Macaca fascicularis: one gene and its partners. The protein of the gene in region 1 purifies or fractionates together with the protein of each later gene. This does not show direct contact. Links are inferred from orthologs where the notes say so. Each region holds a gene or a part of one and is shown in the gene's direction. Other genes may lie near its edges. The genes, in order: DCAF1, CEP78, COPS7A, DYRK2 and COPS7B.

Region 1 (6,350 bases):
GGGTGTGGCTGCTGGACAGGCCCTGTTTGTCTCCTGCTCTGCTTCCCCTGCCTCCTAGGCCCTGGCTTCTCCAAAGCCCCTTCTTAATGCTTCTTGCTCCCATCACCAACCCAGGACCCCAGGCTGGGTTTCTGTTTTTAAAAAAAAATTATAAAAAAAAATTTTTTTTGAGATAGAGTCTCTGTCTGTCACCCAGGCTGGAGTGTAGTGGCACAATCACAGCTCACTGCAGCTTCAACCTCCCAAGCGCTAACAATCCTCCCAAGTCAGCCTCATAAATAGCTGAGACTACAGACATGCACCACCATGTCTGGCAAATTTTTAAGATATTTTGTAGAGACAGTGGAGTGGGGGGTGTCTCTCTATGTTGCCCAGGCTGGTCTTGAACTCCTGGGATCAAGAGATTCTCAGCCTCTCAAAGTGCTGGGATTACAGGCGTGAGCCACAGCACGCTGACCAGGTTGGGTTTCTGAAATGAAGCAGTGCCATCTGGTGGCAGGCTGAGGCAGTGCCAGGAGCTGGTGAGCTGGGCCTTGAGCTCCCTTAAGGGCTCTGCCTTTTAGGACCCCAGCCACTGGAGAAGTCATCACTGGGCCGGCTAGACCATAGACAGAGGGGAGATATCTAAGGCTTAAATGTCCCATCTCCATACATTTTAGGTTCATGGCCCAGGAAAGTCACCTGAAGGAGTGCTGGAGGAAAGGCATGTGGGTTCCATTCCTTGATCTACCTCTCTGGGTTCAGATTTCTCATCTGTAAAGGTGATTAACCATATCTTCCCTGTGTGTGTGGCAGGGTAGTGAGGGTTAAATGAGAGAGTGTGGCTAGAACACTTGGCTCAGAGCCCAGCATGCTCTAAAGTTGAAAGAAATGGTAGTGGCCATTACTGATAGAGGCAAAGTTCCAGAAGCACAGAGAAGAAAGCTGTGTGTTGTTGCAGGAGAAAGAAGTGAAGAGAGGTGACATGTCTGTGGCGCTCCCAGCACACAGTAGAGTACACATTTAAGAGAAGGAGGATGGTCTCTTTTCTGGAAAGAGGGAAATGGGATCTAGTGGGGAGTGAAACCAAGGGAACCAGGATTCAGGTTCCTTACTAGCTGTGGAACACTGAGCATAGCGGCAGGCTTGCTGTGTCTTGTGTTCATGTGACAGTATTGTCCGTGAAGACTCATGGAAATGCACGGAGACTTGCTCAGCATTCCCAGAGAGATAATGAGCTGCGTAAGGCCTTGAAGGTTGGGTAGGATCTTGTCAGGTCAAGATTCTCCTCAAATGTGGAGTCATGTTTATCTTCTATGCCCCGCAAAAGGGACCGCTGGTCGGAGTAAGGAGTCTTCTGGTTCTGCTAATTGGTTGTGTGATGCTGGGCAAGTCACTCACTCCCTCTGGGCCTCATTTTTCCCAATAACATGAAGAAATTGAATTAAGTGACCTGTGAGGTCAGTCCTGCCTCAATCTATGAGCTTTTGATTTTTCACTTCTCTGCCTCACGTATAATACCTGGCAATAAGTATCTATTGATTCCTACAGGCTAGGTCTTGAACAAAAAGAGAGGCTGGGCGCAGTGGCTCATACCTGTAATCCCAACACTTTGAGGGACTGAGGCAGGAGAATCACTTGAGCCTAGAAATTCAAGACCAACCTGGACAACACAGTGGGACTCCGTCTCTACAAAAATTTTAAAAAATTAGCTGGGTGTGGTGGTGCACACCCGTAGTCCCAGCTACTTGGGAGACTGAAGTGGGAAGACAGCTCGAGCCCAGGAGGTTGAGGCTGTAGTGAGCTGTGATTGCGCCATTGCACCCCAGCGTGGGTGACAGAGCGAGGCTCTGTCTCAAAAAAAAAAAAAAAAAAAGACGGAGAACAAAGAGGCTGGGAGGCCCCGGTGGGTGGACCGCTTCAGCCCAGGAGTTCGAGACCAGACTGGCCAATATGGTGAAACCATGTCTCTACCAAATACACACACACAAAACAAAAACAAAAATTAACTGGGTGTCGTGGCATGCACCTGTAGTCTCAGCTGGAGGCTGAGGTGGGAGGACTGTTTGAGCCCGGGAGGCGGAGGTCGCAGTGAGCTGAGATCGTCACTGCACTCCAGCCTGGGCAACAGAGCGAGGCTCTGTCTCAAAACAAACACATAAAAAACAACTAGTGCCTTCTGTTTTAATGAGTGCTGTGATTTCTGATATGTTTATGAGAAAATATTTTCTTAGATCACGGTATGTTCTAGGTAAGATGAGGCAAATAGCCGAATAAAACAGAGGCTCTTTGCGCACACAGGTCAGAACAAGACACTAAAGCATCAGGCGATTATAGTACTGTCTTGGAAGGATTGACTCCCTCACTTTTCACTTCCGCTTTCCGAAGCAGCCAATGAGTACTCAGCAGTTCGCATTTATCCAAAAAAACTACAAATCCAGAAGTCAATGCGCGGGGCGAAGAGCTCATGCGTCAATTGGGACTGGTGGGCCCGCCCCTAGACGCGGAACTTCATTTCCCAGGCGTCCCCGGGGCTCTTCGATTTTCCTCGGATCGTGCAGGCGTTCTCCTCCCGCCCCTTGCTCACTGTCCTCGCGCCAAGTAGGCGCGCGCGCCCGCGCGCGCGGTGCACGTAGCGCGCGAGTGACGCATAATATGTGGGCCGCTGTGGAGCCGTGGTCGCGCTGTGTGTGTATGTGAGTGAAGAGTGAGTGCGGGACCTGAGGCTGTGTGTGTGAACTGTGGCCACTGGCGGGGTCGCGGGGGGGCAGTGGCGGAGCCGCCTCGGACGGTGAGTGGGAAATGGAGGGAGGCGACTCTACGGGAGGGGCGCGAGGAGGCAGGGCGCGTGGCTGGCCGGGCGGCAGAGTGGGCGCCGGGCTGGGGGAGGGGCGGCACCTGCTTGGGCCGCCGGCGAGGAGGGGGCGGGCCGGTCAGCCGGGAGGCTGGGCCCGGGGCCTGACAGGACTTTTCCTCCTCCTGATTCTTGTCCCGGGGGCGGGGCCTCCACGTTCTTCCTCCACTCCCCACGAGAAGCTTCCCGAGAGTAACTCTTCCGCCCGGAGTGGGGGGGCGGGGTGTGTCAGCCCCTACCTGGAGGGAGGGGCGCATGTCATATCCCTTGTCATCTTTTCCCTTCCAATCTTCCTAGTCTCTGTTCCGTACGGGCTTGGGGGGGCTCCATCTTCCGTACTATACGGCGGGCCCCTTCACGGACTGTGTCTCCGCCTCCGGCTCCAGTCACCTGGGCGGGCTCTCCAGTCTCTCGGCCTCGTGCCACCTCTCCCTGCACCCGCCCGGCTCTTGGACCTTGCGACGGGGGCGGAGCTTTCTGGTCACTCCTCTCATCCCCATGAAGAAGGGAAGGGTTGGAAAGAGGTGTGCGGGTCCCGCAGCCTGGAGTCAAACCTCAGAGTGCCCGCCAAACTTCCCGGGAGTCTGTTTCCGGGGGTTATAGTAGTTTTCAACTGGGGTTTCAGAAGCGTTTGCTTCACAACTTCACTTCCTAGACGGTTTTCTGTCTGGCTTCCTCTTACTGCAGTGGCAGCGCTCTGGTTTTCCATTTGTTGAGGAAATAGTTTTGGAGTGTTTGTATTAGTTATTTTTGAGTCAGAAATGACTTGTCCTTGGCCACGTCATGTTGGTCTCGGTTTTTCCTTACCCTGTTTTTTCGATGAAGCCTTTTAATTAGTCTTTACACGTTTTAATTTTTTATGTTAGTAGCATCTTCCTGTTCAAAATGCATTGTTAATGTACAGAATGAGAGGTTAATTGGTAATATCCTTCATTTTCTTTTTCCAGCTTACTGGAGTTTACCTTTAATGTTTATGTGTGTATATGTAGACTTTAGGAATCGATTTAGTATTTTTCTTAATGATGTGAACATTTGGGTTTTCTATATAGCAGTTATTCATTACCCATTTTTGAGTAGGTATATATATTTGGATGTTGAGATAATAGAGAATTTGGGGAGTGTAGGGAAATCATTTTTTGCTCAGTACCTCTTGGGTAGTTGCTGAGTACAGTGTTTTACTGTTCTGCCTATTATACAGTTTTTAAATTTTTTATTTTTATTCATTTATTTTTTGTAGAGACAGTAGTCTTACTGTGTTGCCCAGGCTGGTCTGGAACTCAAGTGATCCTCCCTTGTCAACCTCCCAAAGTGTTGGAATTACAGGCACGAGCCACTACACCTAGACTGTTTTTTTTTTAGATACAGGATCTTGCTCTGTAGCCTAGGCTGGAGTGCAGTGGTGTGATCATAACCCTTTTTTTTTTTTTTTTTGAGACAGAGTCTCGCTCTGTCGCCCAGGCTGGAGTGCAGTGATGCGATCTCGGCTCACTGCAAGCTCCGCCTCCTAGGTTCACGCCATTCTCCTGCCTCAGTCTCCTGAGTAGCTGAGATTACAGACGCCTGACATCACGCCCGGCTAATTTTTTGTAGAGACAGGGTTTCAGTGTGTTAGCCAGGATGGTCTCGAGTGTGATCATAACTCATTGCAGCCTCTAACTCCTGGACTCAAAGGAGCCTGCTGCCTCAGCCTCCTGAGTAACTAGGACTGCAGGCACAGGCTACCATGATTGGGTAATTTTTAAATTTTTGTGTAGACTGTGTCTCGAAATGTTGCCCAACTGACCTCAAGTAATCCTCCCGACTTGGCCTTCCAAAGTGTTGGGATTACAGGCTTGAGCCACTGTGCCTGGCAAGTTTTTAATTTTTTTTTTTTTTTTTGAGACGGAGTCTTGCCCTGTTGCCCAGGCTGGAGTGCAGTGGCATGATCTCCGCTCACTGCAACCTCCGCTTCCCGGGTTCAAGTGATTCTCATGCCTCAGCCTCTGGAGTAGCTAGGGATTACAGGTGTGTGCTACCACGCCTGGCTAATTTTTTTATTTTTAGTAGAGATGCGGATTTGCCATTTTGGCCAGTCTGGTCTTGAACTTTGGCCTCAAGTAATCCACCCACTTCAGTCTCCCAAAGTGCTAGGATTACAGGCATGAGCCATTGTGCCCGGCAAACAATTGTTAATATTATGCCATATTTTTTCTGTTTTTGTGTGTGGTATCTATATATTTATTTTGTGGACTACGCTAGCAGACACTTGTTAGGATAAGGAAATTTTACATAAGTATTTCTTGAGGCTTTGTATTATCCCACCATGGGGACAATATTGTCATTTAACCCCGCACAACAACTGTTTCCATCTTACAGATAAGGAAATTGAGATTTGGAGAAGTTAAATAACCAAGACTTCACAGGTATGTCAGCAGAATTGGGATTTGAATCCTTGAAATACTTTTTCTACCTAGTACTAGCTGGTCTTGGGGACCTCTCGGAGCTTGTTTCCTCATGTGTAAAAAAGGGTAGGATGGTTGTGAAAATTCAGAATAATGTAAGTGTAGTAAATTACTTACTCAATGTCTGTTCCATACTAGATATTCACTAATTGGTAACTATGTGTCACCATTGGACAGACCATCATTTCTTCATAGCACTTAAATAACTCACTTAAGAACTTGAGTAATGCATCCTCACTGTCTTGGGCATAACAAGGTGAAGATGACTGTCTTTTTGCTCTTGTTGCCCAAACTGGAGTGTAGTGGTGCGATCTCGGCTCCCCACAACCTCTGCCTCCTGGGTTCAAGTGATTCTCCTGCCTCAGCCTCCCGAGTAGCTGGGATTACAGGCACGTGCCACCATGCCTGGCTAATTTTTTTTGTATTTTTGTAGAGACGCAGTTTCACTATGTTGGCCAGGCTGGTCTCGAATTCCTGACCTTGTGATCCACCGGCCTCGGCCTCCCAAAGTGCTGGGATTACCAGGCGTGAGCCATTGTGCCCGGCCTAATTTTGTGTTTTTAGTAGAGACGGGGTTTCTTCATGTTGGTCAGGCTGGTCTCAAACTCCCAACCTCAGGTGATCTGCCTGCCTTGGCCTCCCAAAGAGCTGGGATTACAGGCATGAGCCACTGTGCCCAGCCTTTTTTTTTTTTTTTTCTTGAGACAAGGTCTCGCACTTTTGCTCTGGCTGGAGTACGGTGGTGCAGTCATGACTCACTGTGGCCTACACCTCCTAGGCTCAAGCAGTTCTCTTGCTTTAGCCTCCCTGAGTAGCTGGAACTACAGGTTGCAGTGAGCAGAGATTGCGCCCCTGCACTCCAACCTGGGCAACAGAGCGAGATTCCGTCTCACAAAACAAAAAATCAAAACTAAAAAACAAACATTGAAGTAGGTACTACTATTACTAATTTTTAAATTTTTTTCATAGAGGCAGGATTTCATCATGTGTTGCCCAGGCTGGTCTCAAACTCCTGGGCTCAGGTGATCTGCCCACCTAGGTTTTCCAAAGTGCTGGGATTACAAGTGTGAGCCAGC
Region 2 (5,605 bases), on another chromosome or scaffold:
GGAAGGATAAATATAACCATTTTAATAAACTTGTATTATTTGTTCTCAGCGATATCAGAAACATATATTTAAATGTGAATTTTAATATATAATTTGTTTTAAATAAAATATTAATAGGTCTAGCTTTTGCTACCAAATGTTTCATAAAAAGATACTTGACTCTTTAATACTGAAATGTAGGATAAGACTTTATGCTTCATTCTTTTATCCAATAGGTTTCATGTGTTTGTTTTGTATTCTATAAAAGCAAATGAACACTGAAGGTGGACAGACATACAGGCGGCAACATTGACTCACCTACTACCCAGCTACCTTCAGTCTTACAACTTGGATAGTTTTTACATTATAAAATTAGTCCAGCTACCTTCACTCTTATAACTTGGATAATTTTTCCATGATAAAATTAATCTCACATTGAAATTTTGGTCCAATTCAGAAGGTTCTGTTTGGTAGGAGTCATGGGTATATCTATGTTCTGTCCTTGAGATTCAGGAATGCCAAAAATATTCTGAGATTTAATAACAATATTTCTGCATAATGCATAATGAAATGTATCACATATAATCTTTCATTCTTTGGGTTACATGTTTTATTTACTTTTTCATGCTCTGCATGTCTCATATATTAAAGTTATATTTTAGTTAAAGTGATAACTTGTTACTCTAGACAACTTATATTTTTAATTTTTATATATTTATTACATTTTTAACTTATATTTAAATATATTAAAATATATTTATTCTTATATTTATTAGTGGCCTATGTAAAAAGATATTTACAAATTGATCCTGATTTAATGGCCTTGGTGTCATTGTCAGGTGCCCATTGGTATTCTTTTAAGAGTATGCACATGTGCTAATTAATCTGTAGACCTTTAGTGCATCTTAATTCTTTCTTTTTAACACTTTCTCAAGTAGGATTGGCTACAAAGAAACCTGTAAGTAGTGGCAGAAAACACTCCCTTGGTAAAGAATATGCGCCCGCACCTCTACCACCTGGTGTGTCTGGTTTCTTGCCATGGCGTACTGCAGAACGTGCAAAAAGGCACAGGTAGGGTATTTTTATTTTCTATCTTTTAGGATAAAAATGGGATTCAAAATTCTTTATTTTGGAGCTTCTATTATGTGAGAGTTCTCTGCTTATGTCTATAGGGTAAAAATGACTCATGTGGCTTCTGCCTCATGAATCCTTTAAGGAAGAAAAACAAAAAATAATCTTAAGTAGGGTTTCAAGTTATTAAGTGTCACAGCAAGCTGTATCCTTGTGGGAGTCCAGAGGAAACTGAAATTATCTCCAGTTGTGCAGGTGAGGAAAGGTTTCATTTAAAGCATGTGCAGTTAAACCAAGTCCTATAGGACAGAAGTAGGAATTTGGATATTTAAGATTGGGGAAAGGGCATTGTAAAGCATAGGAGAGTGTTGATTAGACTTAATCTAACTCAGCCAACTGGCCTAACTCATTTTAGTGAATCATATTTAGTGAATCAAACCAGATATAACTAGTTTTAGCCAGTTACCTAGGGGGTAGCTATTCATAGTAATTTTTGTCAGAAGAATGTTTTTAAAATGTTGTACTATAATTTTATGCTTAATAAATGAATTAGATTACTATAAATTGTTTTCAAATGACTTTTAGTATTCAAGAAATTGGAGATTAACAATTGCTTAAGAAGACAGAGAACTGATTTTAAATAGGACTGGAAATAGGTGCTATGTGAAATATCTGTTCAGTTGCTCAGATTAAATTGAATATGTATAATCTTTATTAGGCAACTGATGACTATACTTATTTTACAACTGTAATGTGAATTATTATTGCATAAACTGTAGTGCTGAGGCCCTGGTCTTTACACTTACATTTAATAACTGCAGTTTCATGTCTTCTTGAGATACTTACTCATTTCAAGTCCCATCTTGGTCACAAGGAGTTGTGAATTAGAGAACAATTAATATCACCAGTTAAAGAAGTTAAATTGGAAATCTGAACCATCCTGAACATAAGAACTACATGCATCTTCAGAGACTTATCCCAAAGCCATTCTGCTAAATTGTTTAATTTTCTCCATAGCAGAGTTTTCCAGGCCCTTATCTGGAGGTGATTTATTTCTATGCACAGTTATGTATGGATAGTCTACATAATACTAGCAAGTGTTATTACCTAGTGTTAACTGGTGGTGTATTTACATCAAAATATAACTTAATTTATCAATATCTCTTTAGGGGTTTCCCATTAATCAAAACACGTGATATATATAATCAGTTGCAGGTACGTAGTTACCGTGTTTATAATATGTAGGGGGTTGGAATGGGAAGGGTGGAAAATCATTCTCTGTGCTCTTTAAACGGAATAGAGTTTTACAAAAACATTTCCCTCCCTGAAGTAAATTCATTTAAAATTTTCTGGGTTTTCCCAGTGCCACAGTATAATCGTGTGGCTATGTCACACAATGGAGGCCTTGTGGTTTCATCTGTGTAGACAGGAAGTCATTTCTCTGGGTCTGCAAATTAGCTGTTGCCCCTAGTGAAACAAATTTGACCACCATTTCTCACCTGGCACATGGAGTTATCATAGTCAAGAATGTCCTTAAGTTTAAAAGAAATGTTTTTTGGGGATACATATTTTATATGTATATAAAAAAATATATAAATTATATGTATATATAAACATATATAAATTATATATATAAATATGTATATAAATTATATATAAATGTATATAAAAATTCCAGATTCTAAATCCACAATAAAGCAACCAGTCCTAAAGCCTCTGCTTTCTCAGAGTTTTTCTTCCTCCCTTGTCAGGATCAAACACATTCCCTGTCATTCTGCATCATGGTATTAGAGCAAGCCAATTCTTTCAGAGTATCAGGTTTTCCTTTTCAATTGTTTTTAGAGACTGTAATTTCTCTGTAAAAGGTAGCACTACTGAGATGAAGGAGCACCTGTGTGTCGGTACTGCTCCTTGCATAGCCAAAAGTATGGGCGTGCATCTCATTCTACCATCTAGGATTTTCAGGTACTGCAGGATTTATGCTTGTAGTAGATACTGCATTCTCGTGACTTCTCTTCTGTACAGTTATGTATCCCGGCACTCTTCTTTTTGATCTGTGGACTTTTTATGGGATTGTGACACAGTCAATTTTGAAATATTTGGAAATATCATATTGAATAACATTCCAGTGGCATTGAAACTTGACAGGAGAATTGCATTGTTATTACAGTAGTTTTTGGCTTAAGAATGAGGAAAAGATGAGGTTTTTGATGTCTCAGTTTTAGTTGTGTGCATGTATTTGGTTAATTTTTTTTTTAATTCTAGTTTTTGTTTTATTTTGTAGAGACAGGGTCTTGCTATGTTGCCCAGTCTGGTCTTGAACTCCTGACTTCAAGCAGTCCTCCTGCCTTGGCCTCCCATAGTGCTGGGATTACAGACCATTCTAGTGTTTATTATTCACAGTTTAAATTATTCTTCCTTCTTTGTGAGGCCTCCACTGATGGATTTTTTCTCCTAAAAATCATACTTTCTTTAAGACTCTGTGTGTGATGGTAGAGAATAAATTTCTCATCTGCAGTTGATCTGAGAAAAAATGTTTACCCTGCCTCCTCGCTTGGTTTATGTGAAAAAAGTGTAATAAAATAATATAGGTTCTTTTCAGAAAGATTTTATTTAAGAAAAAAAAAAATGGGCGATTCTAGTATTAATTATAAACCTTGTATGAGAGAATTATTTCAATAACATAGCAAGAATAGTGTCTTTTTACTTTGTTATTGATTGTGTTAGGCTAGGGAGTAGTGATAGACATTTATAGAGAATGACTTAACACTTCAGAAAGATCACTTTGATTAGATGTCCTTTAGTATTTGGTATTTGGTTTATATTATTATACAATCTTGTTCTCTTTCTTTAAGCAACCAGGTTTTCCTGTGACTGTGACAGTAGAGAGTCCTTCATCCTCTGAAATTGAAGAGGTTGATGATTCTTCAGAGAGTGTTCATGAAGTGCCTGAGAAAACTAGCATAAAACAAGAAGCATTACAGGTACAAAGCTATCACTTTAAAGATATGGAGAAGATTATTTCAAACTCTAGTTAGTTTCTGGTGAAAGCTTGATTAGGCACTGGACAGCTTGCATGGGAATCCTTCTATCTCATATCCCTTGAATGGTTCTTTATCATAGAACAAGGTAAAAGGAAGGACATCTGTACTCTAAGAAATAAAAATTGAAACATGTCATCAGTAATCTATTTTCCTTTCCTTAGAATTATAGAATATTAGATTTAGGGAAGGCCTTAATGATCATAAGATAAACTCGATGAAATTAAGCCCTGAATGAATGTAACCAGCTGATTTAGGGCTCTTTGGGAGGCCTTAACTTTTTTGTGTGTGCTAGGAAGTCCACAATTAATTTTTTAGAATTAATATAATTTTCTTTTATATGAAACTTAGAAATATAGAAATAATTATCCCTTTTTTATATACTTACATTTAGCTTATAAACAACAGGAATTTATGTCTCACAGTTCTGGAGGCAGGAGAGTCTAAGATCAAGGCTCAGGCAGATTTGATGTCTGGCAAGGGCCTGCTTTCTGGTTCATAGATGGCTTTTCACCATGTCCTCACATGGTGGAAGGGCAGTTACCTTATTTTTATGTGACTATGGAAATCACTTTTTGATTTTCAAAAAAATGAAGCCTGATTTTCATTTTTAATATTAAAATTAATAGTATTTATATAGAAAAATTTTAAGATAATTATAAAAATGATAGAACATTAGAGGGAAAAATTTATAGATAATGTAGAATTGTCCCTATTATAAATGAGCACCTATAGTTTGTAGCACCTGAGTGGTTTATTGCTAAGTTCCAGAGGAAAAACAAAATCCTACAATGTCTCATTCATGTTCATTATTGTTTTAAATGTGTTGTATTTATTTTCTTCACCGGGGATTAGGAAATTGTATTCTAAAAATGATTATAGCCACTGAGGAGACCAAGAAGGTTATGAAATACAACTTGGGAATTTCTGATTCAAGAGGCACTGAGAATTTTCTCAGTTCTTTTCTATTTTAAGAACTCTTTAAAATGATGTTATCAAAATTTCTAACACATGTAAGCCTACAATAATCAAGAGAATTGAAGAGATTTCAACATATTTTTGAAATACAGGCGACAGATGGAAATGAGTATGAAACCGAATCAGTAGAACAGAGGAAAACCATTGCCTAGAATATGCACAGGGGAAGCCTACAGCTCAGAGGGAATCTAATCCCTACTCCAGAAATGGCTCCATACACAGATATGCATATAGGAAAAAGGAGAAGGGAACTAGAAACGTGACTAACATAGAGGGAGCTCCTTGACAGTTTGTATGTGGAAGAGTTGACTCCCAGCCTTACCTGCACTCTCCTGAAATGAGATCATTTGACTTTGAAAAACAGTAAAGTAACTGGGGAGAACTAGGGTAGATAGTGTGGATTTTGCACCCTAGAAAAGGGTAGCTGAGGATATCCTGCCATACTGGCTACCCACTTCTTCATGCATAGGAAAAGCCAGTCATCAGCTCCCAGTGATCCTCCGCTCCCTTATTCTTAAATAGAAAATAACCATGAT
Region 3 (4,888 bases), on another chromosome or scaffold:
GCTACTCGGGAGGCTGAGGCAGGAGAATGGCGTAAAAAAACCCGGGAGGCGGAGCTTGCAGTGAGCTGAGATCCGGGCACTGCACTCCAGCCTGGGCCACAGAGCTAGACTACGTCTCAAAAAAAAAAAAAAAAAAAAATTAGCTGAGCATGGTGGCGGGCGCCTGTAGTTGTAGCTACTCGGGAGGCTAAGGCAGGAGGATGGCATGAACCCGGGAGGCGGAGGTTGCAGTGAGTTGAGATGGCGCCACTGCACTCCAGAGCAAGACTCTGTCCCAAAAAAAAAACCCACAAAAAACAGGGCCGGGCTTGGTGGCTCATGCCTGTTCCCAGCACTTTGGGAGGCTGAGGTGGGTGGATCATGAGGTCAGGAGTTCAAGACCAGTCTGGCCAAGGTAGTGAAACCCTGTCTCTACTAAAAATACAAAAATTAGCTGGGCGTGGTGGCAGGCGCCTGTAATCCCAGCTACTTGGGAGGCCGAGGCAGGAGAATCACTTGAACCCGGGAGGCAGAGGTTGCAGTGAGCCGAGATTGCGCCACTGCACTCCAGCCTGGGCGACAGAGTGAGACTCTGTCTCAAAAAAAACAAACAAACAAAAAAAAAAAAGCTCATGTATCCCAGAAGTTAAAGTATAATTTAAAAAAAAAAAGGGTGGCAGAGGTTGCAGTGAGCCGAGATCGCACCACTGCACTCCAGCCTGGGTGACAGTGCGAGACACCGACTCAGAAAAAGAAAAAGAAGCACTTATTGAGTGGCTGTTTACTGCCCTTTTTATGGTCTGGGAATACAAGAAAAATATCAGAAGAGATAAGATGAATGGATATAAATCTAAATTATTTATTTATTTAGCGAGTATTTCTTCTGAGGCAATTACTGCATAGCTCTGTGGGATACCAGAGACTGGGTCTATAATCTTGTTGAAAGATATTCTTAGGTAGCAACCTTCTGCAAGGATTGATTAAGTGCCAGAATGAAGCTGAGCACAGTGGCTCATGCCTGTAACCCCAGCACTTTGGGAGGCTGAGGCAGGTGGTGGATCACTTGAGGTCAGGAGTTCGAGACCAGCCTGGCCAACATGGCGAAACCCTGTGTCTACTAAAAATACATATATTAGCCCAGTGTGATGGTGCATGCCTGTAATCCCACCTGCTTGGGAGGGTGAGGCAGGAGAATCACTTGAACTCAGGAGGCGGAGGTTTCAGTGAACCAAGATCACACCACTGCATTCCAAACTGGGTGACGGAGGGAGACTCCGTCGCGAAAAAAAAAAAATGCCAGAATGAGTGATCCATGATAGGAGAGGAAATCTGGGTGGACTGGACTGGGCGATGCAAGACAGTGTCCTGGTCAGGTGGGTCTGAAGCAGAGACCACAAATTTAGATGTCTTTCTAGGCTGTGCAGCTGTCAGAGATGAGTGAGGCCGAGGCAGGAATCTGTTGAATTGCGGAGTACTGCACACTGCCCAGACATATTCCAATTTAGAAATATCAAACACTCTGAGGGCCAGACAACACAATTTGCGGTGTCTGGTGCGTGTGTCTGTTCGACTCTGAAAACTGAATGTCTTCAACTCTGAATTTAGGGTAGGAATTGGATGGCGTATGGAGCAAGAGGGCATTGTGGATTGGGAGAATAGTGTAAGCAAAGGCCTGAAGGTGGAAATGCGCCCTTCCTGTGGGAAGCGTGATCAGAGAGGCAGAGAACTGCTTTTGATGAGCCAGGAGAGTTAACATTGGCTGGGAAAGATGGAACAAAAAGTGGAGTTCCACACAGGGTAAGGCTGGGAGGGTGGAGAGGAAGACTTGGGTCACCTCCTTTGTCTTCATTCTTGCAGCTGGCTGAGAGTGACTTTGCCTCCACCTTCCGGCTGCTCACAGTGTTTGCTTATGGGACATACGCTGACTACTTAGGTAACCAGAGGGTGTGGTGCTCTGGAGTAATGGAGATGGGAGAAGGGCAATTTCTGGAGGGACTCAGAAGAAATTCCCAGGATATCCCACTTAGATCCCCTGGGCACGTAGGGTCAGTGTCAAGACCTGAATTGGCATTGAACATGGGAGGGGAGGGAAGGAGGCTAGGGCTTCCCAGAAAACTGATATCAGGATTCCTTACACTTTGTCATTTTTCCCTAGCTGAAGCCCGGAATCTTCCTCCACTAACAGAGGCTCAGAAGAATAAGCTTCGACACCTCTCAGTTGTCACCCTGGCTGCTAAAGTAAAGGTGAGTGGCAGTCCCCCAGTCCTACGGTCTTGAGCATCCTTTTGTATGTCCCTGGGAGTCCACACTAGGACAGCCTTTGTCTGGACCATGGCTGCTTCCTGCCCTCCCCTTGTCCAAGGTCTGTATATAAACTCCATTAGCAACCGTTTAGGCTGATAGTATTCTTAGTTTTCTGTGTTGTTTTTATTTTTTAATCAACCTAAGTTCTAAATAAACATCTTTTGTGTATTTGGTCAAAATAGCAACTAGGATGTTGTTCAGGTGTTGTTCAACAATACCTTCTTCCCTACTGCAGGAAACCAGACTCTCTCTTGATGAAGTGCTAGGCTTCTCTTTGTTAGGATGAGAAATATATATCCCAGAAGTATCTGTATATTCCCATTATTAATGGCTGTTTTTTGTCTAATATCACCATCCACCTCCCCAGCCTGCCCAATCTGCAGCTCGCAATAGTTACTTGACTCTCAGTTGTCCTCGGGATTTAATTTAAACCAGGCTCTCTATTGAGAGACACCTCCAAAGGAATGCCTGTTGCAAGCAGGCAGAGTATAAATGATAAACAGTAACTCCAGACCTCTCCCACTTCCGCTTTCTCCCCTATGTCAAGCTGATCTTGACTGAGGACCGGGTGATACCCTGAACTGTGGCCAAAGGAGTGACACCCAGGCAGATGTCATTTTCTCCCTCTGTGGTGTGGCAGGGGTGAGGGTGTTAGGGGAGCATTTTGTATTTTATTTAAGATTGTGCTTCTAATGATGCTGTTTTTGAAGTGGGAATACTTTTGTTTATTTTGCTTTAGAACCAGCCTCTTAGAGGAAGTGATTTAGGAATGGGAGTGGAGGGCAGGTGTGCTGGGGCAGGGGGAAAAGGAGGGAAGATTTTTGGAAGCCCTTTTCTGTGCGGAACCTCACAAATCCTGACCTGATCTGCGCGGCCCCAGTGTATCCCATATGCAGTGTTGCTGGAGTCTCTTGCCCTGCGTAATGTGCGGCAGCTGGAAGACCTTGTGATTGAGGCTGTGTATGCTGACGTGCTTCGTGGCTCCCTGGACCAGCGCAACCAGCGGCTCGAGGTTGACTACAGCATCGGGCGGGACATCCAGCGCCAGGACCTCAATGCCATTGCCCGAACCCTGCAGGAATGGTGAGAACCGTATCCTGGCACTGTCCCCTTCCTTGTCACCCTGAGAAGGAGAAAGGCGCTTCAGGGTGAGAGAGGGCAAGAGCTGGGCTGGTCTGTAGAGGTGGAACCCAGGAGGATGAAGGGAAATGAATTTATCCCTCCAAAGGCTTCTGGGGAATGCAGGAGTGGGGAGACCTTGGGAGGCGGCAGAAGTCAGCGTCTTTGATACAGCAATTGGGGGAGGGAAAGGGAGTGGTACAACTGAGGGGATCCTAACCAGTAAGGTTGGTCGCCTATCTTAGGCTGGATTCTGTCGATTGGTCTATAACTACCATTGTCCACAGGCCATGGACCTTTTCCTCTTTTTTATTTTCTTTGTGTCCCCATCTAACTTCAGGGTTTCTGTATTCATTAAGTCACCTCTTTTGCTCTTTAGCATCTCCTGCCCTATTTTGTTTTTAGTTCCTACTCCCATCTTGCACATTACTCCAGGCACTTCCTTATCGCTCTCTGACCACACTGAGTGTCCATCCCACTGCTAGGAGTGTTATCACAGGTAGTTTCTAGGTGCCCTGGTGAGGGTTCCCAACTCAGACTCAAAATGCCTGAAGCTGTGTTCTGGCTCTGTTGCTCAGGTTGGAGTGCAGTGGCACCAGCTTGACTCACTGCAGCCTCCAACCTCCAGGGCTCAAGCCACCCTCCACTTCAGTCCCTCGAGTAGCATGGGACTACAGGCTCGTGCCACCACATCCGGCTAATTTTTGTATTTTTTGTAGAGACGGGTTTTTACCGTATCACTCAGGCCGGTCTTGAACTCCTGAGCTTAAGCAGTCTGCCTATCTTGGCCTCCCAAAATGCTGGGATTATGGCGGTGAGCCACTGCGCCCTGCCTCTAGGGTTCTTTTTGAGTCCGTTTTCTGCGAGTCTGTGATTGCAGTCCTTGTCTGCTGACACTTCTCTGCCCTGACTCCCGCAGGTGTGTGGGCTGTGAGGTTGTGCTGTCAGGCATTGAGGAGCAGGTGAGCCGTGCCAACCAGCACAAGGAGCAGCAACTGGGCCTAAAGCAGCAGATTGAGAGTGAGGTGAGCAGTCAGGGGAGCGGGCAGACCCAAGCTCCCCCAGCCTGGGCCACTTGTCCTTTGCAGAGAGGATTTGGACAGTGGCTGTAGCAGACAACCAGATGAGCAGGGGCTGGAAGGTTCTGGAACCTTCCTTGCTATCCCCATTCCTTTCATCCTGGTAGGTTGCCAACCTTAAAAAAACCATTAAAGTTACAACGGCAGCAGCAGCCGCGGCCACATCTCAGGACCCTGAGCAACACCTGACTGAGCTGAGGGAACCAGCTCCTGGCACCAACCAGCGTCAGCCCAGCAAGAAAGCCTCAAAGGGCAAGGGGTGAGCCAGGGTAGCAGGAACTGCTCACTTCCAGGGTGCCCTGCTTTTACCCCAGGGACCTCTCTGTCCTCATTTCCTTCAGTTACTTGCATGGGAGTAGGGAGTGGGGGGAACCTCCAGAGGTTAGGGGATTCCCTGCATTCTCTTT
Region 4 (6,330 bases), on another chromosome or scaffold:
GTCTCTTGCTAATTGAATGAAGCTTTTAAGGAGGTTCCTATTTAAAATGAAATCCGCTCTGGTGGAGTTATGAAGATTAACCATGGTAATATTTGTGAAAGTGTTTTATAAAGAGATAAAAATATGTGTAATTATATGAGATAACTGATAATGATGCATTATAATAATAAAATTTGAGGGAAACAACTCCCCAAATTTACCCACTTTACTCTCCCCAAAGCCCCAGGAGTGTGTTTGTACAACTTTTCCATTTAACATTCACTCAGGGAGATGTCCATATTTAATAGAATAAGGAAAATCTAAGCAATGGTTAATAGTCATTTAGAGGTCAGTAAAATTTAATATAATTTTCAAACATGTACCATTTATAACCAAAATAGCCATGGGGTAGGTTAACTGCAGTATTTCCTTATGTTAAGCCACAAAAAAATATATAAAATTGAAATTATATTTGTCATGATATAAAATAACAAACTACAAAAAGTTCCCTAATGTCTTTTATTTTCCTAAAGTTAATGATTGTGTTCCTTTGTCAAAAAAAAAAAAAAAAAAAAAAAAAAAAAAAAAAGAATCAGCACTCCTTTTCCTCATGTTAAATGAGTAAATTAATATTACTAATTTGGAAATTGTAAACTATGGCTTCCAGTAACTAGCATTTATTTTATTCATGAGAAAACAGTGGCATATTTAGCTTCTACTGAAGTATTGTACGAATAACTTAAGCAAAAAGGGCTGTCGGATTATATTAAAATTGATATTTTTGCTTCTTTTTTTTATTTGAACATCAGTTGTATACTCATTTTAAAAAGGAAAATGGTATAAAATAAGTGTTTTGAAAGGAGAAGAAAAGAGGTGTGAGCTTTCTTGAAAGTGTAAGGAAAGTAGTGTGATGGAAATCAGTGAAATCAGACTGGGAGTCAGAAAACCGGTTCTAGTGTCATCTCTGCTACTGAGTAGCCCTTGCCTTTTAGTCGATTCTAAACATTAAATATGCTTCCGCATGTAGATTTAAATGTGATAGTCGCTAGTGACAAGCATAGGGGGATATTTCTTGCAAGGGTCAGTTCAGGTCATGATTCATCTAAAGGCATATCATTGGATTATTTTACTGTGGTCTACTTTATTAGGAGAAGGCCCCAAAGGGTTTTGTTTTGTTTTTTTGGAGGGACGTGATACTAGGCAAAATTCTTTTTGTCACAGTTTCCCTCTCCCAGTGTCCCTAACTTGGAGGCCTCTTTAGGAGTCCCAGAGACTCTGAGAGGTCACACTGTACCTTGAAACACAGTTTTTGGCGTTTGTATAAAGCTGCGGGTGCGCTCTGTGGGAGGTTGCTATGACAATTTGCAAACAGTAGAGGCGATGAAACTCCGCAGGAGGTGACTCCCTTCCGACTGGAGTCTGCACTAGTTCGGGCCTGCACAGTAGGTCCAGCCAGGGGCCAGAGATAATCGGGCGGGGCAGAGCGTAATGGACCCCTGACCCCAAGAGAACTTCAGAAACTAGGCACCTCTCGAGAAGGAAGTGCATGGCATAACTCTGCCCCGTCATTCGGAATTTGTCGGGCTTTTCCACCCCACCTGCTCTCACGGCTGAAGTGGCAACACCTGTGACCTTTGGACAGAGGCGCACCGTGTGCCACGCACGACGAGGCGTGGGTGTGAGACGGGAAAGCAATTTTTTTTTTTTTGGTCTTCAAGGAAAAGAGAGGTTGTAGATGGCGAATAAAAAAGGCAGGGAAATTCTCTAAGTTTCTTGTAAAGGAAGGGGTTTATAAGAGATGCGTCGGGTTGGGGTGAGAGGAATTCGAGGTGTCGCTCCCTCACCGCAGAGCTCAAAGGAAGGTGTGTCTCTCCCAGTGGCCGCGCCAGGAAAAGGCTCGGAGTTGTAAGGAAATAGGAGGTGTCTCTGATGTTTATTTTTGCCTAGCAACCCACAGCCAACTGCTTCCCCAGCTGCCGTCCACACGCGCCTCTCTGCCTCCCCTTGTCCTAGCGACTGGCGAACGGTCACTTGGTGTCAGTAAACCGGGGAGGGTGTGTGTAGTGGAGGTGGGAGGGCAGCCCCCTCTCTCGCCCCTGCTCAGGGTCAACGAGCTCAGCGGCGGCCCCTCCCAGGACTTGACTCTCCGAGGTGACCCTCGCACAACTAAGTTATCTACATGAGGAATTGGGGAGAGGGGAGTGGCTAAGTCGCCGCGACTGAGAATGGGGGACCGGGGACGCAGTACTGTCTGTGAGCAGCCATTCAGTTCGAAGAGCTGAAAATGCATTTATGTTTAGGGGTGGGCATGGCAGGGGAGGGGTCTCTGCGACGCTTTCGGCCGGAGGGCAGCAGCGGTAGGTTGAGCTGTTAGGGCAGCGGAGGGGCTCCGAGGGGGCCGGAGAGGCCGGGGAGGGGAAAAGGTCGCCGGAGTGGAGCCGAGGGGAGCAGTGCAGATGGCCGGAGGGGGCGGAGGAGGGCGAGCGGAGCCCGCCGAATTTTCCGGGGAACGGAGGGGCGGCTGCGCGCGACCCGGGGAGAGGAGAGAGGCCAGGCGGGAGGCTGGGTGGGGGCCAGGGCCGGGGGAGCCGGGGGCGGGGCCTGCGGCGGCGGCGGAGGGCGGCGGAGGGCGGCGGAGGGCGGCGGAGGGCGGCGGGGGCGGGGCCGCGCGCCGGTGTCTGTGTGTGAGTGCGCGGGGCCGCGCGCGCGCGGGCCCGGGAGAGCCTCCCGAGCTAGGCGGTTCTCGGTCCTCGCGGCGCTTCTAGCTCCCCGCGCCCCTATGTGAGGGAGACGGGGAGGCCCGCGGCGCGCAGGGGAGGGCGAGGCATGTGCACGGGCCGGAGGGTGCTGCAGCCGCCCGAGGAAGAGGAGGACGGCGGCGAGGAGGAGAGCGGGGGGCTCGCGGCGGCGGGCCCGGGCCGAGGGGATGCAGTGGACTGTGTGTGTCTGGCTGTAGCAGACGCGAGGCGGCGACGAGGCGCCGGGGACCCGCGCGAGGGGCGGCCGGGAGGCGGCGGCGGCGGCGGCGGCCGCCAGAAGTAGCAGCAGGACCGGCGGCGGCGACGGCAGCCCTGAAATGCATTTTCCTCTCCAGCGGCCATGTTAACCAGGAAACCTTCGGCCGCCGCTCCCGCCGCCTTCCCGACCGGTAAGGAGGCCGTGCCCCCGCGCCGCCCCCCCCCCCCGGAACCCCGCCGACCCAGGGCAGCCCCCGTGGCGCGGGCGGCCGCTGCCTGCGGGACCTCGAACAAAGTCGGCGGCGCGGCGCGGGGGAGTCCCCGGGCGGACGGCGCGCTCCGGGCTCCGCGCAGGGTTGCGCGCGGCGCCGAAGGCCCCTCCGAGGGGAGTCCTCCGCCCGAAGAGGCTTCTGCCTGCCAGGGGCCCGGGCGGGGACCGTCCAGGCCTGCCGCCCCGCCCTTCTCTGCCCGGGGCTTGGCGTGGCCGTGGCGCCCTGCTCAGCTGTCCAAACCCACCTCCCGGCCGCTGGCAGTCTGCAATGTGGGCCGCCAAGCCCCGGCGTGGTCCGGCTTCCCCGCCGGGTCGCGAACTCGCGCGCCAGGGCCCGACTTAACTTTGCAGCTGCCTGCGCCCCGCCCGTGGGTGTGCGCTGGGGAGCCGTGACCCGAACGCTTGTTTGTACTGCCCCGGTCTCTTCCTCTGTCTTTCCCTGGGAGAGGGGTGTCGCTGCCCAGTGGGGTGGGGGGTAGTCTGGGTGACTTTCTCCCCCCTGACCCTCTTTTGTCTCCTCCCGCACGTGGCTTCCAGGCAGAGGTGGGGACAGCGCCGTTCGCCAGCTTCAGGCTTCCCCGGGGCTCGGTGCGGGGGCCACCCGGAGCGGAGTGGGGACCGGCCCGCCCTCCCCCATCGCCCTGCCGCCTCTCCGGGCCAGCAACGCTGCCGCCGCAGCCCACACGGTGAGACCCAGCCCGCGGGCGGCCCGGGCGGTGGGGGCGGGAGGGGCCCCAGGCAGAAGCACCCGGACTTGGAGGGTTCTGACGCCGGGAGAAGAGGGGTCGAGATACAAGAAGCCCCACGCCCCGGGCCCGTGGCCTCTCCTCGACGCCGCCCTCGTTAACTTGGGCGAGCCCAAAGCTGCAGCCACAAAGGAAGATTCGTGGCGTGGGCCCCTTACTTCCCCTCCGGAGCCCGCCCAGCCATGAGCTCCTCTTCCTAGGAACTTCCTCCTTGCTGCTTCCCTTCTTTCCTCATTTTTCGTCCTTGCATCCCAGAGCTCCCTTTCCCTGACCGGGTAAACATCTCTGTCCTTCCCCCACCTCCCCGTGGGTAGTGGGTATTTATAGAAACAGATATGTGTTAGGGGACAGCCAGACCGGCCTGCCTGGAAAATCGATCCCCCAAAGAGCCTCCCAGGCCTGGCTCCAGCCAGCAGGGAGCATCGCCAATTGTCCCCCGCGTGTGTAAGCATGTTTTATGAGTGCTACAGGTTTGAGCACAGCAGAAATTGTAATTAACATTAACAAAAATAAGAGCCGCCGCAGCAGTCAAAACAAGCCACCCCTGTAGGATTCTGCAGTTGGACGTTATTCAAAAGGAAAGGGCAAGCGTTGCTTTGGAGGTGGGAAGGAAAAAGCACCTAACAGGTGCTGTGGTCTCTCAGGGCCCAGAGGGAGGGGAGAGGCCAGCGTGGTACTGGTTGCTGGTGGCTGTGGAGACTGGCAAGCTGGATTCGACTTCAGCATGTACCTTTTCTCAGCTCCCAGGGATCACCCTTGGATGGTGATGGCCAGCCTGGAGGAGATCTGCACTTGGAGGAGGTGATGGTTTGGAGGTCTTTTTTTCCCGATTGGATTTTCCACAGGAACAGCCTAAGATGGTTCTGTGTGAGGGATGCTTGCCAGGAATTGGTTTTATTTGCCAAGCGAAAGTTGAGTTCTTGAAAAAAAGGCCATCCCCCGGCCTACAGGGGAGTAGCTCTGGGGACATATGGGGAAACTTGTTTGTCAGAGAACTGTGAGGGGATGTCTAGACCGTAGTTGCACCTGTTAGACCTGGAGAGACGTGTGCAAGTTTCGTAGGAAAATGTTTTGTTGCTGTTACACTCTTCCCCCTCCCTCTGTCTGTCTCTGTCCTGACACATCTGGTCCCAGGGGCTGGGAATTCATTGCACAGAAGTTAACTCATCTGTGTTGGACTGTGGATGGTAGTAGGACGGATGATTCTGTATATTACTGTTCAGTGTTCTTGTTGCAGTGAAAATTTAGGTAACGAACTGCCATTGATTTTAGGGGTTTAGATTTTTTGTTTGGGATCATCTGACAATTTGGAAAATGTAATATCCAGTTTTTTTTTTTTCTATGTGTTGATGTAATCACATGACATGGTGTGACCTGGAAAAAGAGCTATTTGGTTTGCATGTGGATTCCAATTTTGTAAGGATGGGCTTTGCTTGATCAAAGCCTCTTTGCCATTGAAATACATGTAATGAAAGTAGATAAAACGACAAGTCTCCACTGGAGGGAGAGCCTGTGGTGCACCAGAAAAGGAAGGATGTGAATGTGCTTCTCAGTACTCCTCATAATGGAGGCCTGTATTTTGCTGTGGCGTGTGCCAGATTTACTTGTTTTTAACGTGTGTGTAAACTTCGCTATGCTGTTAATTATTAGATGCTTGACTTTGAAGGTGTGAATTTGGGTTTCGATGGTGGTTTAGTTTTGATTTTATTTCTGTAACATCGCAGATTTCATAGTACAGGAAAGGTTAAAAGGACCACAGAGTTTATCTGTTTCTAGTCTTTCAATTTATAGATGAGGAAACAGACTCAGACAAGGTAACTGGTTTCATCAGGATTCCCCAGCCAGTTCATATCAAGGCCGGAGTGAAAGCCTACACCCTCCTGCATCTAGTTTTAATATGCTGATGGAGACTGCTAATTCTAGGAAATTGTACTAGCCTCATTATAAATGCAAGAACCTTTGTAGATCCATATTCTCATATGTCTGTCGGATTTTTATAAATTTTTAGTTATTATTTCCAGAGTAATTACACCTAGGAAGAACTTCTAGAATGAATGGGGGGTGGGGAGGGCATTAAGGAGATAAAAATGATCTTGTCATAGGAGCTTGCCCACATTTTCTCTTACAGGTGATACACTAGGCAGGTCAAATATATGATTATAAAGATTATAAGCTTTGGAATTTATCTAGTCCGTTGCCCTCTTGTTTTATATCTCCATGCATAAGTTGTTTTACACTTTAGTAATTTATTTCTGTTTGTGTGAGAGATAGAAGTGTGCCTGTTACTTCCTATTATTTTTCTATTAATGTTAATTGGCAGTTATTAATAGAAGTATTTTAAATTCAAAAATATTAAAATATGTGTAACTTTTATAAC
Region 5 (5,605 bases), on another chromosome or scaffold:
TCTTTGCTCCACTCTACTATACCGTCTTTCGTTCATTTTGTCACGCTGCTGTAATATGTATCATTCTTAGAGGAGAAATCTTACCTGGAACTCCTGTACACTCAGCTTGTAATTAGATTACACAGTTGAGGGACCCTCCTGTACTTAATGTCTTCGGAGCGCTTATAGAATATTTTCACTGTTTTCCCAAATCTTTTTATTGTTTTCTTGAGTTCTTTTTACACATTCTGAAGTCACGTTTGGTTAAAATGTCGTATCAGGAGGAGGCCGAATACAGGGATTTTCCCCCATGGTCTTACACAGCATGCATGTTCTTAGTTTGGGTATGTCGCTGTTTTTCTTTCAAAATGATGTCTCCCTCTACCTGTGCTTACCTGACTTGATTAAATGAGACATCTTTCTTGTTTGGTTTTTTGTTTTCCTTATCTCTCTGGCTGTAGATGGGATTCTGATGACACAGTGGGAGCTGTAACTGATTGCTTTTGCTTACGTCTGGTGCCTCTGGGTATAGGCAGTATCCTTTATTTCTTAACCAGAATATGTAAACGAGGTGGATATAAAACAGCTGCTGAGAAACTCCTGTGTTTTTCTTTAGCTCCTGGTCAGGTTTAAGGACTTAGAAGGTGTTGCCTCTGGAGGAGGGGCAGGTGGAAGTGAAATGACTTTTACAGAGTGTGTTTCAAACACCAGAATTTAGTAAAAGATCCTTTTAACTCCAGGTTGAACTCCACCCATCTCCCAAGGTGGTAATTGCATCTGGACTCAGGAACTGTTTTTTTGTTTTGTTTTGTTTTGTTTTTTAAAAGACAGTCTCGCTCTATTGCCCAGTCTGGAGTGCAGTGGCGCGATCTTGGCTCACTGCAACCTCCACCTCCTGGGTTCAAGCAATTCTTGTGCCGCAGCCTCCCGGGTAACTGGGACTACAGGCATCTGCCACCAGCCTGGCTAATTTTTGTATTTTTAGTAGAGATGGGGTTTTGCCATGTTGGCCATGTTGGTCTCGAACTCCTCACCTCAGGTGATCCACCCACCTCAGCCGCCCAAAGTGTTGGAATTACAGGCATGAGCCATTGCACCTGGCCTGGTTTTTCTTTATCAACACTATAAAATTAAAGTATTCTGGTGTTTGATTCAGCACTAAATAGGCATAGACTTTGCAAAGGAGAAGGAAGAATGACACAATTTTCTTTTGGACAGATTTCAAGGCCAGAGAATGGCAGGGGAACAGAAACCCTCAAGTAACCTCCTGGAGCAGTTTATTTTATTAGCCAAAGGTACCAGTGGCTCAGCCCTCACTGCTCTCATAAGCCAGGTCTTAGAGGCTCCTGGAGTGTATGTCTTTGGAGAACTTCTGGAGCTGGCCAACGTGCAGGAGGTAAGAACGGTTTTCAAACAATTTCTCTGTCTTTGTTCTGAGACTCTCTGTAATTCTCCAGGTTTCCAAAGAATTTCAATGCTGAAGTATTGTGAACCTGTGAGGTACCCTATTGAGAGAGGGATGGGAATTGGTGGGGCAGAGGAAGAGATTGAGAGGATATCCTTGGGTCCTTTTATCCAGTATTTTTATCTCAACTTGGGTAAAATTAGATTGTTGCTAATAATAATCTAAAAGATAGTAAAAAAGTCAAGTTGATCCTGATAAATTAGAAAAGTGCTATAAGCATGGGCTGATGTTTAATAGGGGTAGATTCAGGCATTCTTAGGGACCAGAAACCTCCAGTGCATTATCGATAAGGAGGATTGGTCAGGGACACACAGCAGAAACTTACTGCTATTGAACATAAAATGGACATGAATAGGAGTGTATTTTTCTTGTGGAAAAGGACAGTGCTATGCTAAATGTGTTAGATATGACATGAAAAGCTAGGACGTAGTTCATTTTACGTGTTTGCTTGCTTGTTATTAAAACCTTGGGTATCCAGTTTTGGTCATTGTGCCTCAAAAATGAGAAGATCCATTGAACAGAAGGAACAAAGAGATGTAAAGCAATCTATACTTCTCCACCTCTACTTCCCACTTTGAACATTTTTATTTGTTTATATTCACTTACTTGAGAAAAGTCTGTGAGCATCTTTATTGCTTTGTAGGGTGGAGGGTCATACTCAGGAGCTTTTGGTGGATCGGTGGGGCAGGTCCCCTTCCTCTTCATCCTCACAGGCTTCTGGCTTTGCAGGCTGGTGCTGGCTCTGTGGAAGGCTGCCACGCACCGATCTGGGTGGTGGTACCTCTTGTGGAGCATGTGCCGGATGCTGTTGAGAGTGGCCCTGCAGTTCTTGGTGGTGGCGATTTGCATATAGGAGGTGGTTTGCTTTTGTTAGGCAGTTTATCACCTTCGTGACCACTACAACACCTTTGCTGTTGGCTCCACATCCACAGTCAGTTTTAACAAAAGGAGTTGCCGGCCTTCAGGTTGTTGGATTCGGAGCTGTGTGTCCTCCTGTTCCTCTTGATGGGGAAACTGCAGCAGTTCCCCACAGCGCAGCCATTTCAGGTGCCCACTTATGACTCCTCTACCTGTGATGGTCAGAGATGAGAAGAGCCACTTTTACTTTTTCATTGTAAATTTTTATTTAATTTCAGGCTTGCTTGCCAAACTGTAATCTCTGTGAGGAGGTCTGTAGTGCTCAACATTGTTTCTTTAGAGCTGAATACATAGCCTGACACACAGTAGGTTTTCAATAAAAATTTAATTTGCCAGAAGTGGAAAATGAGTTTTATGAAGAAAATTTGAGAGAACTGGGTTCGTTTTTCAACACAAGAGATGACCAAAGGGTAATATGTTCCTTCAGGTTCATGAAAAGCCTGCATGAATATGCCAAGTAGTTGTTTTGTAACTGTGGAAGATTGGCTAAGAGGAGATGGTTGGAAAGTAAAGCCAGAAAGGCTTTATTGATTTAGGCCAGGGGGAGAAGTGTTGGAGTATCTGCTCTGGAGAAAATACTCTTTTCCGGCTAGTTTTATGTGTCTGAAAAGTGGGGGCTAGATTGGATGGTCTTTACCAGGTTTCTTCCCCTTCTGATTCAGGGACTTCAGGAGGTTTGTGGTAACCTGAGAAAGTAGCCTGAGGTATTAGGATGCTGGAGTTCTCCATAGGGTGCTTGGCAGACCGCCTTTATCTCTCCATACATTGCGTTTTTCCTTATGTGAGCTGAGAATAAGCTGGTTGCCTTTCAGTGATCTGAAATTATAGATGCATTTCTTGGAATCTTTATTTTTTTAAAGGCTAAAATTGAGTAGTACCGCTATTCCTGTTTAGAGGTTACTGGGCTTGGTAAGTTGGAAGGGTAACAGGAGCACGTTTGTGATTTAAAAAAAAAAACAAAAAACTCACCAGTTAACGTAATTGACAGCAGAGAAGTTACAGGCAGAACAGTGGCTCTTTCGTTTTTCTTCTACACATGGCTTTTTGCCATCAGCATCAGTGAAGAGTAAGTAATTTTAATGAACATTTTGATTTGGAGCAGACTGATACACTGGTTTTCTGTCCCAGCCTGGCTTTCTGTCATGCCCTGTGATGTGCTGGTCTCTCCCAGGGTTCATAGTCCACATGTAGTCCTGAAACTTGGAAGCAACCCTGAGCTTTGTTCACTTTGGGTTAGTGGTGGCTCATGCCATACCTACCAAGCTAGTATGTAGATATGGCTGCTGCAGTCTTTGTTTTAATGCAAATAGAATCTTGAGAAGATTTGAACTCCTTCCAATGCTTAATGCTTTGTATGTGTGTGAGAGAGAAAAGCAGTTCCTTGGGCATGCTGTGTAGAAAGTAAAACATTCCCGAGGGAGAGATATTAAATTTGGGGCTTTAATAATCTTGTTTATTTTTTCCCAAAGAATCAGAGTTGGAAGAGAGACCCCAGGGGCCAAGTAATCAAATAGTACAGAATAAACAGCCATGGCATCTTTGACACATGCTCACCCGTCCTCTGTTTGAACACTACAGTGATTGGTAGACAGTTTGGTCTGTGGTGAACTTTTTTTTCCCTCCTCAGCTTGCGGAAGGAGCTAATGCTGCTTATTTGCAGTTGTTGAACCTGTTTGCCTATGGGACATACCCAGATTACATAGGTGAGTTGGTGAAGATCCTTCAAAAGACTTGTCTTAATTATGTTGCTCAGTTTGGAAGACCATCAAGGTTTGAGATATAAAGCATGGGGTAGGGGGGAGACTTCTTGACCTGGCTGCCTCCCATTTTGCTGTGCCTGGTAGGTGACCTCACAAAGGGAATTTTCCTTCTCACCTTTTGTATTCTAGTGGGTAAAATGGGGACTGTGTGTGCTCATCCACAAATGTAGCCCTTGTTTATTTTCCAGACGAGATTCTTGAGGACTGGTGTTTGTAGGGCTCTTGGAGTGCCATGAAGTGTCAGAATACCCACCTGTAGAATATTTCAACATTTTAAATATTATCAAAATAATACCAGCATATTGAAGAAAATTTGGAAAATAGATTTTTAAAAAGTCACTCATAGGCTGGACGCGGTGGCTCATGCCTGTAGTCCCAGCGCTTTGGGAGGCCGAGGCAGGCAGATCACTTCAGGTGAGGAGTTTGACACCAGCCTGGCCAACATGGTGAAACCCTGTCTCTACTAAAAATACAAAAATTAGCTGGGTGTGGTGGTGGGCACCTGTAATCCCAGCCACTCTGGAGGCTGAGGCAGCAGAATTACTTGAACCTGAGAGACAGAGATTGTGGTAAGCTGAGATCGCACCGCTGTACTCCAGTCTGGGCAACAGAGCAAGACTCTGTCAAACAAACAAATAAATAAATGTCACTCATAGTTGTATTTCCATCAGACATTTGGATGCTGGACTTTCTTGTGCCCCTTAAGTTTGTGTTTTGTATTACATAGGTATAACTATGTATATAGTTTTATGTCTTGCTTGTTTCCCACTTATAGACATTTATCCATATTTTAAGTCTTTGTAATATTTTTAATATTTCACAACCTAATATTTCATAATCTACTTAGCCCATTTTCTGTTGTAGGGCATTTGAGTCATTTTAAATTAGAATCTTAAATATTAGGATGAGGTATTTGTGTGTCCAAACACTAACTTACCTTCTACCCAAACCATTTTTTTCTGGCTTTCCTACCCTTTTTTAATGGTATGACAGTAGCCTGATACTCAGGGTCTTCTCTATGATATCCCTGACTTCTTCTTTCTCCCTGGTCACTTCTACTTTGTGCGGCTCTCAGACTAGACAGTTTGCCACTTCCTGGTACACCACATTTTTTTCTGACCTTCCCTTTGTTCCAGGGAGTGTGTTCTGTTTTTCTGTCCTCGCTTACTAAAGAGGCAGCATTGCAAACTCTGTTACCAGACTGCGTGTAGCCAGCCTGGCTCCACTTCTACTAGTTGTGTGTTCGTTGACAAATTAAGTAACCTTATGCAGCTCAATTTCCTCGTCTGTAAAATGGGAGTAACAATACAAGTCCGTTATTCCTTACCTACATTCCTCGAAGCTACATGTTTCAGAATTTAGAATTTTTGGGACTTTAAAAAGGTAATATGCGCATGCCTTTTTATGTAACATTTTCAGAGGAACGTGGAAACAAGTGGGATAAAAAGCCTGTCTCCGTTCAGGTCCAAAATTCTCACCAGGT

What was found.
Region 2: the proteins of DCAF1 (region 1) and CEP78 purify together in Homo sapiens (affinity purification with western blotting; 3 studies listed by BioGRID, with this or other methods). This does not show direct contact. The link is inferred for Macaca fascicularis from reciprocal best matches to the Homo sapiens genes DCAF1 and CEP78.
Region 3: the proteins of DCAF1 (region 1) and COPS7A purify together in Homo sapiens (affinity purification with mass spectrometry; 4 studies listed by BioGRID and IntAct, with this or other methods). This does not show direct contact. The link is inferred for Macaca fascicularis from reciprocal best matches to the Homo sapiens genes DCAF1 and COPS7A.
Region 4: the proteins of DCAF1 (region 1) and DYRK2 purify together in Homo sapiens (affinity purification with western blotting; 5 studies listed by BioGRID and IntAct, with this or other methods). This does not show direct contact. The link is inferred for Macaca fascicularis from reciprocal best matches to the Homo sapiens genes DCAF1 and DYRK2.
Region 5: the proteins of DCAF1 (region 1) and COPS7B purify together in Homo sapiens (affinity purification with mass spectrometry; 3 studies listed by BioGRID, with this or other methods). This does not show direct contact. The link is inferred for Macaca fascicularis from reciprocal best matches to the Homo sapiens genes DCAF1 and COPS7B.

Annotation. Positions count from the first base shown.
Region 1 is NC_088376.1:114,509,452-114,515,801, reverse strand, and holds the start of DCAF1 (DDB1- and CUL4-associated factor 1), read left to right. Parts: upstream 1-2,643; 5' UTR 2,644-2,770; intron 2,771-5,188; 5' UTR 5,189-5,235; intron 5,236-6,350. UniProt on the Homo sapiens protein: Acts both as a substrate recognition component of E3 ubiquitin-protein ligase complexes and as an atypical serine/threonine-protein kinase, playing key roles in various processes such as cell cycle, telomerase regulation and histone modification.
Region 2 is NC_088389.1:108,874,679-108,880,283, forward strand, and holds part of CEP78 (centrosomal protein of 78 kDa), read left to right. Parts: intron 1-914; coding exon 915-1,050; intron 1,051-2,219; coding exon 2,220-2,265; intron 2,266-3,905; coding exon 3,906-4,034; intron 4,035-5,605. UniProt on the Homo sapiens protein: Centriole wall protein that localizes to mature centrioles and regulates centriole and cilia biogenesis. Involved in centrosome duplication: required for efficient PLK4 centrosomal localization and PLK4-induced overduplication of centrioles.
Region 3 is NC_088385.1:7,647,498-7,652,385, forward strand, and holds part of COPS7A (COP9 signalosome complex subunit 7a), read left to right. Parts: intron 1-1,836; coding exon 1,837-1,912; intron 1,913-2,134; coding exon 2,135-2,223; intron 2,224-3,163; coding exon 3,164-3,366; intron 3,367-4,321; coding exon 4,322-4,427; intron 4,428-4,588; coding exon 4,589-4,740; intron 4,741-4,888.
Region 4 is NC_088385.1:74,403,452-74,409,781, forward strand, and holds the start of DYRK2 (dual specificity tyrosine-phosphorylation-regulated kinase 2), read left to right. Parts: upstream 1-2,687; 5' UTR 2,688-3,078; coding exon 3,079-3,127; intron 3,128-3,744; coding exon 3,745-3,893; intron 3,894-3,922; exon of another isoform or gene 3,923-4,754; intron 4,755-6,330. UniProt on the Homo sapiens protein: Serine/threonine-protein kinase involved in the regulation of the mitotic cell cycle, cell proliferation, apoptosis, organization of the cytoskeleton and neurite outgrowth. Functions in part via its role in ubiquitin-dependent proteasomal protein degradation.
Region 5 is NC_088386.1:127,715,684-127,721,288, forward strand, and holds part of COPS7B (COP9 signalosome complex subunit 7b), read left to right. Parts: intron 1-1,162; exon of another isoform or gene 1,163-1,197; 5' UTR 1,198-1,213; coding exon 1,214-1,375; intron 1,376-3,989; coding exon 3,990-4,065; intron 4,066-5,605. UniProt on the Homo sapiens protein: Component of the COP9 signalosome complex (CSN), a complex involved in various cellular and developmental processes.